Arabidopsis thaliana: one gene and its partners. The protein of the gene in region 1 interacts with the protein of each later gene in a pairwise test. Each region holds a gene or a part of one and is shown on either strand. Other genes may lie near its edges.

What was found.
Region 2: the proteins of AT3G24740 (region 1) and RSZ22a interact in a two-hybrid assay, tested with the Arabidopsis thaliana proteins (one large-scale study listed by BioGRID).
Region 3: the proteins of AT3G24740 (region 1) and PFD6 interact in a two-hybrid assay, tested with the Arabidopsis thaliana proteins (one large-scale study listed by BioGRID).

What each region holds. Positions count from the first base shown.
Region 1 is NC_003074.8:9,029,167-9,035,207, forward strand, and holds AT3G24740 (cellulose synthase, putative (DUF1644)), read left to right. Parts: upstream 1-1,911; 5' UTR 1,912-2,104; intron 2,105-2,108; exon of another isoform or gene 2,109-2,680; 5' UTR 2,681-2,898; exon of another isoform or gene 2,899-3,210; 5' UTR 3,211-3,230; coding exon 3,231-4,295; 3' UTR 4,296-4,309; exon of another isoform or gene 4,310-4,387; 3' UTR 4,388-4,678; downstream 4,679-6,041. Other genes in the region: AT3G24715 (kinase superfamily with octicosapeptide/Phox/Bem1p domain-containing protein), read left to right, coding at 1-137, 228-350, 423-510, 592-782; AT3G24730 (mRNA splicing factor, thioredoxin-like U5 snRNP), read right to left, coding at 986-1,084, 1,180-1,246, 1,331-1,488, 1,573-1,728.
Region 2 is NC_003071.7:10,447,284-10,452,302, forward strand, and holds RSZ22a (RNA recognition motif and CCHC-type zinc finger domains containing protein), read left to right. Parts: upstream 1-2,347; 5' UTR 2,348-2,420; intron 2,421-2,542; 5' UTR 2,543-2,553; coding exon 2,554-2,642; intron 2,643-2,731; coding exon 2,732-2,820; intron 2,821-2,915; coding exon 2,916-3,165; intron 3,166-3,257; coding exon 3,258-3,383; intron 3,384-3,540; coding exon 3,541-3,577; 3' UTR 3,578-3,901; downstream 3,902-5,019. UniProt on the Arabidopsis thaliana protein: Probably involved in intron recognition and spliceosome assembly.
Region 3 is NC_003070.9:10,504,826-10,510,125, forward strand, and holds PFD6 (prefoldin 6), read left to right. Parts: upstream 1-2,707; 5' UTR 2,708-2,840; coding exon 2,841-2,916; intron 2,917-3,010; coding exon 3,011-3,081; intron 3,082-3,200; coding exon 3,201-3,325; intron 3,326-3,562; coding exon 3,563-3,623; intron 3,624-3,939; coding exon 3,940-3,996; 3' UTR 3,997-4,326; downstream 4,327-5,300. Other genes in the region: AT1G29980 (choice-of-anchor C domain protein, putative (Protein of unknown function, DUF642)), read right to left, coding at 1,055-1,169; MNS3 (alpha-mannosidase 3), read right to left, coding at 4,707-4,956, 5,048-5,196, 5,285-5,300. UniProt on the Arabidopsis thaliana protein: Binds specifically to cytosolic chaperonin (c-CPN) and transfers target proteins to it. Binds to nascent polypeptide chain and promotes folding in an environment in which there are many competing pathways for nonnative proteins.

The DNA of each region.
Region 1 (6,041 bases):
CTCGGAAAAAGATAATAATTGCAATGGATGCTGCTTTTGGCATGGAGTATTTGCACTCGAAGAACATCGTCCACTTTGATCTCAAATGCGAAAACTTACTTGTCAATTTAAGGGATCCACAACGGCCTATATGCAAGGTAACATATATATTGATGAAGATCGTTTTCCCCTATAGACTGAGAATCCTGAGAAACTGCTACTTAAGTATGAAACTCTGATTTCTACAGGTGGGAGATCTTGGCTTATCTAGAATCAAACGTAACACTTTAGTATCTGGGGGAGTGAGAGGAACTCTTCCATGGATGGCCCCAGAACTCTTGAACGGAAGCAGCACCCGAGTTTCTGAGAAAGTAAACTAATCCAACCACTATCCTATTAGTTTCACTAACAACACAACTCACATTTGTTTTCGATCTGAACAGGTTGATGTTTTTTCATATGGAATCTCGCTGTGGGAGATTCTAACCGGAGAGGAACCCTATGCAGATATGCATTGTGGAGCAATCATTGGTAAGTCAAAAACCATCACTCACAATTTCACTTACCTCAAAACAAAAGCCACTCTATGCTCATTTATTTCCTCTTTTTAAGGCGGGATCGTGAAGAACACACTTCGACCTCCTATACCAAAAAGCTGTTCTCCGGAATGGAAAAAGCTGATGGAACAATGCTGGTCTGTCGACCCGGATTCTCGTCCTCCATTCACCGAAATAACATGCCGACTTCGGTCCATGTCAATGGAAGTCGTCACTAAAAGCAAAAGAAGAGAAAATAAACCCTGACTTCAAAACTTCAGAAATCAAGAAAACGACGGGTCAGTTCATCGACATTTTCACATCTATCGAAAAATCTGCATATTTATTCTCATTCTTCAACTTTGTACAAAAACATAACTGTAAATCTCAAAATGTCAAATGTAAATATTATTGCCAACACAGAAGATGAGAAACAGATTTTGCATTGTAAGCACAACAAACTTTAGTGTCTACACATCCTTGTACACGAGCTGGTACTTTGGTATCCTCTCTGGCGGTATTGGACATTGAACAATCATCTTCCCTTTCATTGCTCCTCGATATATAGCCTATACATAACACAATAACAAAAACAGAGTATTTAAATTAGTAACAACTCTTTAAAAGCTTTTAGGAATTAATGAAATTGAATTGTTCTTGTTACCTCAACAACATCAATAAAGTCTTGTTTTATATGAAATGCACCAACCCATTTAGTATGATCCGCAGTTCTACAATATAACCAAACCGGAATTAACATAAACCAACCTAAACCGGCTTTAATCAGCTACTAGAACAAGAGATTAATTAATTACCCAGAATCCAATTTCATATGATGCGCATTGAAGAAGAAGATCGTCGAAGGAAACAACGTGATATCAAAATACTTCACATACACTTGAACATCCTCTGAATCAACATCAACCAAAGCTACCTTAGCAAATTTCGAAACATCTCTCACCGATTTCGCAAGCTGAAAAGAAAAATTCGAAAACTTTAGGGGTTTTGATTAATCGAAATTAGAGAAATCGAATTCAAAGAGAGACGAATTGAATACGATTTCATCATGCTGAAGACAAACGGCGTCGGAGGAACGACCAAATCGTAAAACAAGAACTTCATCAATGGTGTCTCTGATAACCCGATCAATCTCTTCCTTCGTCGTTAACGTCTTCAGAAGATAACTCATCTCGGCGTAAGAATTATACGACATCGTTTAGATAATATAACTAAAGAGACATAAAATAAAATATACGACGTCGTTTGATAATAATATAATACAGTAACTAAAACAGACGGAAAATATACGACGTCGTTTTTTGGTAATAATATAATAACTAAAAGAGACACAGATTAAGCGACGTCGTTTGTGGTAATAATATAATAACTAAAGAGACGCAAGTGCAAATGTTTTTGTGATAAAAACCATAAAAATAAAAATAAGTGGAGAAATCAAAATCATCGATTCTCCTTTGTTTCGCCTAACCCAATTCCTAAATCTCAGCATCTTTCATCAATCCAATCTCTCAAATAAGCGAGAGAGAAACAAAGATTATCGAATCCTTGGAGACGAAAACATACTCCAATTTGTAATTTTCTCGTCTTTTTTTTTACCTGATTTTGTTATACGTTTGATCGAAATCATTTGCTCTGATGGATCTCTGTTTTGTTAACCCTTTTGAGATTTGGTAGATATGGTTTTGAGGATTGATATATTTGCCGCTGATTGTCGTTGAAAAATTGTGAAATTTGATTTGGTGGTTTAGGGTTAAAATGAAATTATATGATGAGGAATATAAGAATCTGATTTTTTTTTATTAGATTCTCCAGATGTTCTTGTTACTTGTGATTGAAACTTTGATTTTGGGTTGTTGTTGTTTTTGAACTTTGGGGATTTTAAAGTTGAATTTTTTTCTAATTTATGCCAAAACGGTCTTCTTCTATGGTTTTGTATTGAACTGATGATTTAGATTTGTTTAAATCTCGGCTTTTGTATATTGTAGTGGAAGATTGAATTTTTTATTTCTTGTCATTGGTTATAGGTTTTAGTTTATTATGATGATGCCACTAGTTGCATGATTACTAACTTGACAGTGGTTTATATGAACATATGTGATAATTTTCTTAAGTTTGATTCCTACTTCTCTTTTGGGATTGTTGTGCAGGTTTTAGGACATTTGGGTTACCCTGAGGCTTAAGGAGAATAGTGGTTTAGTTATTTATACTGAATTTTGTGTCATTCAGACTTTCCGAGGATTTTCTGTTTGGTACCGTTTGCCTCGTCTGTGTTTTCATTTGAGCTGCATCTTAAAGTGAAAGTTCAGTGCTTAAACAGTAATAAAGTAGTATTTCAACAGGCTGCTAATAAGATTGCTCCCTTTCGGTAAGTTTGTTTTCAGCCAACTATCTCTCTTTGTGAAGTTAACAATCCGTTGCTTCTTGTGATGGTTAAGATTCCTCTGGTATGCTTAGTTTCTGTGCTAGTTTCTAGACTATGATGAGTCAGTATAAGATATCTATTTCTTCTGTTTTTGGTGTATCTTCATTTGTTCTTGCTTTGGTTCTGCTGCTACATGATTGTTTTGAAGTTTTGATATTAAGCGATGGTTTTGGTCTTGCAATGTTCCCTTTTTGGCAAAAAAGTAGTATTTATAAACCTCATTCAGTGTTTCTAACTTTCTCGATGCGTGAGTAGCTTACACAGTGCTTAACAAGATGGCTGGTGTAAAGCGAAAATTAAGTACCGAGTCAGATGTTCATGCTCTTCACAAAGAACTGGATGAGGTTTCATGTCCTGTTTGCATGGATCACCCACATAATGCTGTTCTACTGCTGTGCAGCTCTCATGACAAAGGTTGCAGGTCCTACATCTGTGATACCAGTTACCGACATTCCAATTGCCTTGACCGGTTTAAGAAATTGCATTCTGAATCCGCAAATGACCCTACTCCCGAGGCGAACTTGGCTTCAAGGGAACATAATAACGAATCTCTATACGAGCATGGTACAGCCAGTCGAAGCAGTTTTCACCGTGAGTCTGGAAACCGAGGCTCTTCTTGGGATTCCGAATCACTGAGGAGGAGGAGGAGAGTTGAGGAAGAAGTTGAGTCAGAAGATATCACAAATTTGAAATGTCCTCTATGCCGGGGTACTGTTTTAGGATGGAAGGTTGTAGAAGAAGTAAGAACGTATCTTGATCATAAGAACCGAAGTTGCTCCCGAGAATCCTGCTCATTTACTGGCAACTACCAGGATCTGCGCCGCCATGCCAGGAGGACTCACCCAACAACTCGTCCTTCAGACACTGATCCATCAAGAGAGAGAGCTTGGAGGCGGCTTGAGAACCAGAGGGAGTATGGAGATATAGTCAGTGCAATCCGTTCTGCCATGCCCGGTGCTGTTGTAGTAGGAGATTATGTTATAGAAAACGGAGATAGGTTTGCAGGTGAGAGGGAAACGGGAAATGGTGGGAGCGACCTTTGGACCACTTTACTATTGTTTCAGATGATTGGCTCTCTTGACAATGGAGGTTCTAGCGCTAGTGGGAGTGGTGGTGGATCAAGATCCCACAGGTCAAGGGCATGGAGGAATCATCGGCGTTCATCTTCAGATAGGCCGTACCTTTGGGGGGAGAATCTATTGGGTCTACAAGATGAGCGCAATAACAACGATGATGAAGAGTTTCGTTTGCAGAATGATGCAGGCGGTGCTTCTACTCCTGTTCCAAGAAGAAGAAGGAGATTTGGACGTCCTAGATCAAGCGGAAATCATCCGCGATAAGCTGAAGCGTCCCGGTAAAAATTCGATATAAATCATTGGGTTTTTGGTTGTAGAAAAACCTTTGCGATTACTGAAACTGGTTTTGTCTTTAGGTGATATCGATATCTCTCGGGTCAGAACCAGGCCGATGCAAAGGGAAAGGTTTTACTAAAAACCCGAGAGGCTTAGGATTGTTTGGTTTTATGTAAATGTCATTTTGAGCCTTGGCTCATTGTATACTACTAAGTATGGCTTCTTATGCAATGTCTTTTGTTACTTAACTCGTGGATTATTTTCTTTTGCGTTGTGATGAAGTTTGTTATTTAGGAAATCGACCACGTATAAATATTTTATCTAAAAATGGACAATGTAATTATTTTGTTGAAGCTCTTTTTGGTCCAACGTTTGACAAAGATTTAGTGCTTGTTTTTACTGTTTTCCAATGTTTTCAAGTGCTCGCTCTAAGGAGTGTATGATAACACGTGTCAAATAAAACAGCCACGATATTACTCAGATGTCATAATTGTAACTTGGGACCATCAAAACCATAGCCTATAATTGTACTTGAACCATGTAGAGGATTGAGATGAGGCCACGTTTGATAAATGACATGCGGGCATGAAGAATAACACGTTCGATCTCGCAGAGCTCGACGATGGCATTGGAATAAATGACAAGGTAGATTATCTTCTATTCATAAACTATAGTCTATAGTAGTATGGATCCAGAAAAGTAGAAAAATGAACTGTGGTTTATAAATGGTGTATAAAAAGCAGTCCAATCCTTAAACGGATTTGTCCACTCCAACCGCCGCAATTATTCAAACTCTTAGAGTGTTAAAGCATAATTCGGAAACAATTAACAAAAAAATCATATCACATCGAGTCTATCTTAAAATATATTCGATCTTAAATAGGGGTTAATTTCAAAAGGTGTTTGCTTTAGATACAAGTTGTATATATTGGTCTATTTAGTTATCATTAACTTTTCATGATCGTTAATTCTGTAATTATTATTTTTTGTTTTGTGGATTCTTTAGTAATTAGTACTAATATCCATGTGACTCTTCCATGTTCTCCTATACCCTTCACAATATATATATATATTCCAATAACTCTTGATTAAGTAGACCACATCCGGTCATTTTGTGAGTAAACCATTTTTGTTTTGATTACACATTCGTAAGACGAAATGTCATTTGTTCCTCAATTCTTTCTCATGACCAAAACGTCAATTACAAGAGAAGTAATAAGAAAATTTTCTCCCTAGTCTCTTTATTATTCATATCTTATTGTTATAAAATAAAACACATATATATTACACATATCTTATTGTTATGTTAACTTTTCTTATTTCGGTTTTGATTCTTTTTGATATGTTAACTTTTTCGTTATGTTAACATTGATTGCCAGATCGTGGAGACAAGGAAATGAGGTCTTGTATATACAAATTAACAGGTTTCCCTAAGAACCTTGTTAAGAAGACACAAGAAAAAAAGATAGAGAAAACAAGTTTTGGTGTGGTGAATAAACAATATGGAGTACCTTCTTCCGATGATACTCGTAGTTTCCGTACTGTTAGGCGTTGTGTTTGTCTCACTTATTGTTATTGTTTGGATTTACTTTGCCCGCAAGCAAGCACGAGATAACTCCAATTTTTTTGATGTCCCACCGATATAGTTATTTCGCCATTTAACAATTATGTTATTTTTTTGGTTTTGTTCTTTAGATTTGATGGTATTGTAACCCTCTTCAATGTTTTATCAAC
Region 2 (5,019 bases), on another chromosome or scaffold:
TAAAAGGATGACATAGCGATCGTGAATTTGTGATTGTGAAGTTCTTGACCAATTGTATTCTTGGGGAATATGGTGGAATGAATATAGAGTCACTTCGCTCTTTTCTTAGTGCTCACCATTCGTTTTTGTTCGAAAAGACAAAATCCCTTATCCACTGGTTATTAGTTTATTAACAAAAATCTTACATTTTATATGAATGGGACACTCTTAAAAGAATATTTAGCAATTTGTAGGAACAACTTGTACATTCTAAAATCGATATTTAGCTTATAATTTTAGAATCACTCTTCTTTTTCTTTTTGAACAATAGAATCACTCTTTTTTGTCCATATTTTAGGATTTAATTAGAATAACATCGAAACTAATTTCTATGATTTATGTAATGTCATTTGCAAGATGTCTTCACCAAACATAGAAGCAGTGTTGATTACCAAAAAAAAAACATAGAAGCAGTGTTTCATGTCTTAAAACCTATAAAAAAGAGAAAAATTATAAAATAGAGCACGTAATAATTTATAAATTTTATTAATTATTTCTCAAAATAAGTCGTAATTGAGTGCCGTTTTAAAAATCTTGAGGTGAGCTTCTCTCCATCTGAATAGAAAGAAGAGAAAAGGAATAATTCTTGTCGTCATAGTTCAAACTTCAAGTGGACTCTCGACGACATTTCAATAATACACACATACTTATCTAATCCTGTCACTGAATGGAGTCTTGGTTCAAGAAAGGTGCGCACTAAATAGTAAATAAAAAACTACAAAATTATATCATTGCTCTTGGGAATGATTGGATGTTATAGGCTAATCCCAAATTAATATCTGGACATAATATATTGTCACGTCCGGTTTTTGTTAAGTGACTGATTTAAAAGTGAAACTCATAAGTGATAAAGCACAAAATTACGATTTAGCCTCTATTGTCTTTTCCAAACAAACCATTCTAAACTAGAACCATGGTTCAAGTGGTAAAAGTTTTTATTTGAATATTGTGATTTTGGGAGATATAGGCATGGGCAAAAAAACCCAATAATTTTAATAACTGACCAAACTGAACCGTATCAAAACCAAAGTTCTTAAAATAATCGAATGGTTAGTTGTTAATGAGAGAAAGTTACACTCGAAAATTAGAAAAATTATCAAGTAATATACTTATAAATGATTAGTTTCATTGCCAATTGGTTTTAAGTTAGAAACTCATCTTAAACCCAAATATGTTATTAGTAAAATAAGGGTGATTCAAACCATTTCTTCTCTAGAAAAAGCATTAGAAGAGCTAAAGATGCACTCAGTTAATAATGCTAGGATGATGCTAGGATTATTAGCATTAGAAGAGCTAAAAGGTTGTATCTTAGCCTCTTTAATAATGCTAGGATGATGTGATGGAAATATGTTGGTAGCAGAAGGTGAACTTCGAGGCATGAGTGGTTACCATGCCGTTGTCATGGTCATAATTATGTTCATTTGTACACACCTACTAGCATTACGCAAATAAATAATAGTGTCAAAATTGGTTTTTATGGTTATATCTTTGTTTGCCTATCGACTATATATCTAGTGATCGATTCCGATGAATAAAGTAGAGGATTGGTTAGGCCTACAAATAGGCTGATGCATCTATTGTCTAATTTGTGATGCTTAATGAGTGAATTATTATTATAAATAAAAATTTGAACGAAATAGTTTTCTTCACTTAGTTCAAAAACTAGAGGTAATAGTCTCTCTCTTTTTTTTTTTTTTTTTTTTTGGGTCAAATAGTCTCCCTCTTAAGTTTTATTTTCCTCTCTCATCCTCATCATCTGAGATGTATGGGTTAGTATATACATAAAAGTATGAGCATAAAAAGAGCTTTCTTCATTTACATAAAATATTCAGTGGACATAGAAAAGAGCTTTCTTTATATTTTTTAATTAAAATTTGAATTTACGACGAGATTTCAATTTGGGGTTTAGAAACAGTGTTTTTCTCAGGATCTCTACTTGTGAAGTTTTCGCTTGTGTTTTCTTAGTGTTTTCTCCTTGTGTTGTGTTGTAGTTTTTGGGGATTTATGTAGATTTCAATTTCTTTTTTTTTTGTATTTTCGGTAAGTTTTATCAACTTTTTTTGAAAATCGTATAAATACTTAAGAGTGATACTCATTTTTTTTTTGAATTCCTTTTATATGCTGAGAGCTTTTTTTTAATTTTGAATTATTATTATTTAACATCTGACATTTTAATTTTATAATCAGTAATTGCATGAATATGAGGCATTATTGTTACTGTACCATATCGCATGCGGCCCATTTTAAGCCCAAATCAAGGAATAACTTTTGAAGGACATTTAAAGTTGACCCACAAAAAATAACTTTCATCTTCAATTTCGAATCGATAACCCTAATTTCTCACAGACGAGCAAGAGAAAGAGCCAAAGCCGTTTCTTCAGGTAAATCCCGATCTCCGTTGTCACTTCTTTACTCCAGATTCATTCGTAGTTTCGATCTATAGATTTCATCTTTTTGAATTCATCGCTTTCAAAGTTTTTGAATTGAAGCCTTTTGTTGATAGGTAACTTGAGGATGTCGCGTGTGTATGTTGGTAATTTGGATCCGCGAGTTACTGAACGTGAACTCGAGGATGAGTTTCGTTCCTTTGGTGTGATCAGGAGGTACATAAATTGACTCCTTTTTGGTTTTTAGTTGATGTAAAGTGTGTGAATTTGCATTTATCCTCATTGTTCTTTTGGTGTCTGTGCAGTGTCTGGGTTGCTAGAAGACCTCCTGGTTACGCTTTTCTTGATTTTGAAGATTCAAGAGATGCCCGTGACGCCATCCGTGAAGTAGATGGTATTCGTTGGTCTTCTATTCTACTGGTCTGGTTTTATGAGTTGTTATGAGTTGTTATGAGTTTGATATATATATGATCTATATTGTTATGGTAGGCAAGAATGGATGGAGGGTAGAGCAGTCTCATAACCGTGGTGGTGGTGGAGGTCGTGGTGGTGGTCGTGGAGGAGGTGATGGTGGTCGTGGACGTGGTGGTTCTGATTTGAAGTGCTATGAGTGTGGTGAGTCTGGTCACTTTGCACGTGAATGTCGTTCTCGTGGTGGTTCTGGTGGTAGGCGTCGTAGCCGCAGCCGTAGTCGCAGTCCTCCTAGATACAGAAAGAGTCCTACCTATGGAGGACGAAGGTTATTGTCCCTATTCTTTCTGATTGACGATTTGCAACTAAAAGAAATTGGTCTACCTCATTGATTTATTACCTTGTCTTTTGGTTTCACAGAAGTTACAGCCCTCGTGCTAGATCTCCTCCTCCTCCAAGACGTCGTAGTCCTTCTCCTCGTGGTCGCAACTACAGTAGGTCACCACCACCTTATAGAGCACGTGACGAGGTGCCATATGCTAATGGGTAAAACTCCCCTTGCTCTTGAGTCTACTGTATCTCAATCAATATAAGAAATTGAAACTGAACTAGTGGCATTATCGTCCCAAAGACTTTTTTGTTAGACGTTGTGTTAAAAAACAGAGTCCATGTGGCTGATAAGTTTTTGTATTTGTTTATGCAGAAATGGTCTGAAAGATGTGCGCAGAAGCCGGAGCTGAGTGTTACTTGTCTAGATAGCAAATTATGGGATCAGGAGACAACTATTTGCTTGTGACGTCAAGAGGAGAGGAAATTAGTATCTGTGAATTTCACTAAGAGAATATGTTTTAGCTGTGTGGTGGATTGGATATGCTTGCTACTTTTGAATTGCTGGAAAGCTTCTTATTGCGTTTGGATTATGAAGCCATAGTTGTATCTGCCGTTAGGTAAAGTACTTTTAAATATCTACCCATGTTCTTAAAAGACATAAACAAAAGCTCTGCTAAAAACCTATGCATTTTCTTTGTTTTTTGTTCTATCATCTCGAGGTTTCTTCAGGTTTCTACTGCTTCATTGCTTATCTGCTTTTGGCTTCTTGGTTAATTTGGTCGGCCTGCTATGGGATCTTCATAGTAGTTTACCACAACTTCTGCTTCATTGCTTATCTGCTTCTCGCTTCTTCGTTATTTTGATCTGCCTACTTTGGGATCTTCATAATTGTTTACCACTACTTCTGCTTCATTGCTTAACTGCTTCTGGCTTCTTGGTTATTTTGATCGGCCTGCTTTGGGATCTTTATGTTAGTTCACATCTACTCTGCTTCTCATCTAGATGCTCTTATGTTTGAAAACTTCATCGGCTCTGATGATTGCTGGTCTTGCTTTTCTTGAACTTAAAATGGCCGAGGAGTTGCACTTGCTACTCTGGCAGGTATTTAATACCTTTCAGGCAGGCTTCGAAGAAACTTGTCTTACGGTGTAGAATAGTTTAGAGTATGTAGAACGTCTCTGCTTTGTTTGAGGTGGGCACTTGGATAAACACTTATCGCCATCTGCAATAGTCATTCCTTTGGTTTCATCACGTTTGGTACATGGACTAATCTTTAAACGAGAGATTTTTCTGCTCATTGGTTTCAATTTCATCATGTTTGATTCAAGGATCATTCTGTCTTTATTGAAGGCTTTTTGGCTGCCTCCTCTTCTGATGATGCTTTGGTTTAAAACCCTAGTAAAAGGAGTAGATTTTCATAAGTTTCTTATCTTTGTCCTGTTTTGTTGTGTCCTGAAAATACTTATTTTTTATGAAAAATAATTTACAGATATCCAACTTCATGAGTTTGTTCACTTTTTATATTTAGCAAAACTTTGTTGTCATATGTTTTACTTATCATCATAATCAACTAAACATGATGACGACGATATCTCCTAACAACTAGAATCGAGCAATTTTGTGTTCGTACTTATTCAAGTGACTAGATTTGAAGTTGTTATTTTTGATGAAACATGTACTGAGTATTGATATAAAACATGTAAAACATCATTGACAACATTTTTCATTCTTTTTGGACTTTAAATGATAGAGATAACATAGGTGAGACCAGTTTACACGAAACTCCTTAAGTAGGGATGCATCATACAATGGCAATATAAATCTGCTTCAAGTAAATCTTGTGCCGGTCCCT
Region 3 (5,300 bases), on another chromosome or scaffold:
ACGAAAAAAAATAATAAGGAGACACGAGGCTTGAAACGTCTAATATGGGGCCAGACATACGGCCCATACCTTCTAGCTATGACTTAGTAGGACCACAATTGTGAAGACTCGTTTTGACTATTTACTAATTTTTATGTTTACACTCTACAGTTCCCAATTTACAAGTTAAAAATGCCCCTTCTAATAGGGGAAAGCAAGAGACAATTGTTGTGTTTTCGGTGGAAAAACAAAAGAAAGCGTGTTGAAAAACTAGAGAAGTATTCAGACACTTGGATGTCGTTTTATCAAGTATTCTTTGTCGTTTTGTAATACTACGACCAAAAGACCACCTACTATTTGGCGCGAATCCTACTCAAGTGGTTTTTTTTTTTGGTAAATTTTTTAATCAAATAATTTCTTAGAAAGTAAAGTACCTAAACAACTTTCTTTATGAAATCAGATCTTTAAATTAATATCCACATAAAAAAAAAAAAAAAGAGTTCTCAGGGTTTTGTTGGTGTGTGTTTGTTATTTGTTAATTGAAGCTAAGGAAGATTTAAGAAGGGCTTCCTTTTTAATTTTGCCGCCGCTGAAAGCACGAATAAGATACTTTATACTTAATTGACAAATAGACCCATACAACTTTCATTTTCTTTTCTATTGTGACGGATTAAATTCAGTTGACAGTTTTTCCCCTGACTATGAGATAACCTTAACTAGATTAGCATTACTGGTTCGATTAACACTGTTTACTTACTTAAACTAGACATTAACATAACAGATTTCTAATCTTTAGTAAAGAAGAAAACTCAACTTAAAAATCTTAGCAACAGTGAAGTGAAATTGAGGAAAACCCCCAAAAATCTAAACACTCAAAATCCAGATAAAAACTAAATCAATCATCTGAAACTAAATTATTTTGGTCCTCTGTTCTTGAAACAGAGATGGGTTGGATTCAAGAAACCAAATCTTGATAACACAAGATTCTTATTTAAATGGCATTTTTGAGAAAAACCAATCACGCAGAGACCAGAAAAGAACAAAGAAATTTGATGAAGGTAAGTGAAAAGCGTACCATCCTCAACCGCCGGAGACTTGTCGTCAGCGACGGCGACTAAGACGGCAACGGAGACACTGAGCAGAAACAAGAAAATGGAACTCCATTTGCATCTATTGTTGCTCGGAACCATATCTCTCCTCTACTTCTTCTTCGTCTTCCTCAAGATATCTAAATGCTCTCTTTATCTCTCTTCTCTCTCTCTGTAAGTGTGAAATGTGAAAGTGTCTTTCTGTATGTTCTTTTCGGGCAGCGAGCAAAGACAGGGAAGGTTAGTGTCCTTTTATCCAAGATTCCTCACTCCTTGTCTTTTTTTTTCTTCTTTTTTTTTAACTCTCAACATTTAATTTCCACTATATTTAAAGCTCTTTACAGACAAAACTCCATGCACGCATAACAAAAAAAAAGTAAAAGAAATGTTTCTACTGTAACATAGTATTTAATTGTTCTAATTAGTAGAGCCACGATGGAATAAGTTTTAGTATTGACCTAGGTTCTCTCTTTTTTTTTCCCTCTCATTGGATCTGTGCTAGATGCGAGACTAAAGTGGCAACTTTACTTTTGATCCAACTCTATTTCTTTTAGGCTGTGGAGTGAATTATTAGTTTGACAACAACAAAAATGTCTTTGTAAAATCTTCGGCTTTTCACTATTATAGATTTGAAAAAATGTTGTTTAATACGTGAACTTTCAAAATTGGCCATTTAATACGTGAACTTTATATATGGCAAATTAATACATACAAAAATCGTTGACTGACAATTTTACATAAACTTAATCGTTGATCAAGCCAAAATCTACACGACGTTATCTGACATTAACAGACCGATAACAGTCGTTAACTAATCTTCGTTAGTTTCTAATACGACGTTGTTTCGAGTATCGCGAAAACGGAAAATGCCATTTAATACTCCAATTTTCAAATTGTGGTCATTTTATATATCAACTTCACATGTGGCCATTTTATATATGAACTAAACGTTGACCAATAGTTTAAAATATGAGAATGCGTTGATTAGACCAAAAAGACATACCGCTATCTAGACCTAGATATTCAGATTTTTGTTTGGATTCGGTTTGGATTTATTCAAATACCTAGGCCTAGATAGCGGTATGTCTCTTTGGCCTGGTTAACACATTCTCATTTTTTAAACTGTTGGTCAACGTTTAGTTCATGTATAAAATGGCCATATGTGAAGTTGATGTATAAAATGACCATAATTTGAAAGTTGGAGTATTAAATGGCATTTTTCCCGTTTTTGCGATAATCGAAATGACGTCGTATTGGAAACTAACAGAGATTAGTTAACGGCTGTTATCGGTCTGTTAATGTCAGATAACGTCGTGTAGATTTTGGCCTGATCAACGATTAAGTTTGTGTAAAATGGCCAGTCAACGATTTTTGTATGTATTAATTTACCATATATAAAGTTCACGTATTAAATGACCATTTTTTTAAAGTTCACGTATTAAACGACATTTTTCCCGTTATAGATTGAGGTATAAAGGGACGAAAAGTAAAAATTTGTGTTTATGAGAGTTATGTTCAGTGTTGATATGATCAGTGAACTAGAAGATATTACGTCACCAAGTGATAAATAGTGTTTTTCTTTTGTATGTAACTAAAACTAGGCTTGATAATAGAAGAAAAGCATATTGGGCCGTTAAAAAGTCCAAGTTAATACGGTTTTGGGCCTTACTAAAACACGGGGGCTTTAACGGAGTTTTGTTACTGCTCCTTGGTGGATCTGCGAGTTTTCAATAAACCACCGGAGTGAGGAAGAAGCAGACGACGACGACGAAGATGAGTTCATCGACTGTTCGTGATTTGCAGAGAGACCTAGAAAACAAGGCTAATGATCTCGGCAAAATCCAGAAAGGCAAGTTTCGTAGATTCTCGTAACTTTTCTCGATTTGATTCTTTTCTTGTTTCTGGAGGCGGGAAACCCTACTTTTCTGTGTTCATATTTTCAGATATCGGGAAGAATCATCAGCTGAGAAAGAAGTATACGATCCAACTCGGTGAGAATGAGCTCGTGCTTAAGGTATATGTTCATGTCTCACTGTTTAATCTGAGTTTTGTGGCTACTTCAACTGAAAAGAGAAGTTTATTTCGATTGTTGATTGGCTTTAATCTTTTTATGTGTCTGTCTTGTATCTACAGGAGTTAGATTTGCTGGAAGAAGATGCTAACGTCTACAAATTGATTGGTCCGGTGTTAGTGAAGCAGGATTTGGCTGAAGCTAATGCAAATGTTCGTAAACGAATTGAGTACATCTCTGCTGAATTGTGAGTTTCTTTTCTTTTAATGTGATTGAAGCAAATGCAGTTCGTTGAGAAACCTATTTTGGGATTGTTATTGTAAATAAAGAACCTTTCTTTCTTTCTAGGCTAATAGTGAGTGATTGCTGTTCATAAGTAGCTAAAATGTTTTCACTTCTAGCTATGTAACAACTATGAGAGATGTTGATAAAGTGTTTGAGCTATAGTGTTGTGACCTCAAGAATATTGTTGTATCCTTTGCAGGAAACGGCTTGATGCAATTCTTCAAGATATGGAAGAAAAACAAAACAACAAGAGAGAAACGGTAAGACATCTGCCTCTCATGCATTTATATACTTCTTTGAGTGCATTGAATTAGTGATACTAGGACTGCTACACCAATAATAGTCCAAACATTGATGCTCAGTATACTAAGCTCTAAAAAGATACTTTGGTAGCTATTGTTGTCAGTTTAAGCCTGCCCGGAAAGTAAATACTTGAACTTTGTTATCTCCTCTGTCTCGTTGAGTGGCCTACTGGCCTTGGCGCAATATGAGGATTTGCTGTTTCTGCACTTTCTTGGCTTTTAAATGGTGATAATGATCCTATGGTTTCAATTTATGGAATCAAAATATTTGCAGATAATGAAGTTACAACAAAGGCTACAAACTATCCAGGCAGGAAAAGCAAAGGCTTGATTGAGCTACTCAGTTGCAACCACACTTGTTAAACCCTTTCCACTGTGCTCGGCCTTGTCTCAATGGTGTCATATTCAGTTACTGAGGGTTCTTGTGGTTTCAGTTTATTGGGTGATTGATGTCTCTTTGTGTCACTAATCTTTTTTTGTTGACAACTAGACTTAAGTGTGTAACTTATACATGATCTTGTCGCCCTTTATGAAGTTATGAGTTTGGAGATTTACAAAAAAATATTGTGTGTGTGCGCCTAATTTGGTCTTCATACATACTTCAAGTCGATTATGTTCTATGCAACACCTTGCAGATTACAAAGAGCTAAGATGACCAAATGATCTCAAATTTAAAGGTTTATTAGTCATATCAGAATGATCTTATCTTGCAGTGTAAATGGTATGTATAAAAAACTAAAACCATAATTCATCTCCATGTCAATTGTGTCTGATTACATTTTGCCAAGTGAGAGCTTAACGAAAAGAGAGAATATTAGTCTCAAGAAACCTACTACTACAAGCAAAAACTTTTACGAGTTAAGTTATAATTTGGATGCAGAAGCTTATCTTACATTGAAAGTTATGACTTTTTTTCCTCAACGAACTAACTTCTTCTCCAATTGGCAGTGTACTATACATCACTTTCTCCATACCCTCTCTTAAGTTTGTGTATGTGTGTGTGTGTGTGTATTGTCTGGAGTAGTCTTCAAAACTAAGCCTTCAGGTGTTTCTTCTTATTGGTAATGGATGAGCTTCAGTGTTGAAAACAAACTTATCCAATGGTATCACTGAGTCATCTCCAAAGAGCAAGTATAAGTACTTCAATGTTTCACCAAGGAAAAATGTCTCCATCTTATCTCTTCTATGAGGAGGCACTTCTGTTACATCATCCAATGATGTGTATCCACCTGATTTCACCTTTGTGTACTTTTCAAAAGCTTCAAAAATTTGCCAACCTTGATCTCGGTATCTGCAATTTTAGAAATGTGTTAGCTTTAAGAGTAGAATAGTCCCCAAGAACTTAGATTAGTGAGGGAAAATCGGATGAATAGTTTTCATACTTTGTATCTTTTGTGATACGATAGAGGACAAAGAGTGATTCAACAGTTTCAGGGCGCAGTAGATTATGTCGATCAGCGGGCTTAATGATTATGTCATTTGCATACATAGAACTCTTATTCCCACCATCAAGACCATCCTCAGTGTAATCCTGCTTTATTAAAATCCAAGACTTAACAAAAAACAAGAAGAGCAAGGATGACAATAACGTTTTGGAAAAAAGTACACACAAAACTTACCTTTGTGTGAAAGTAA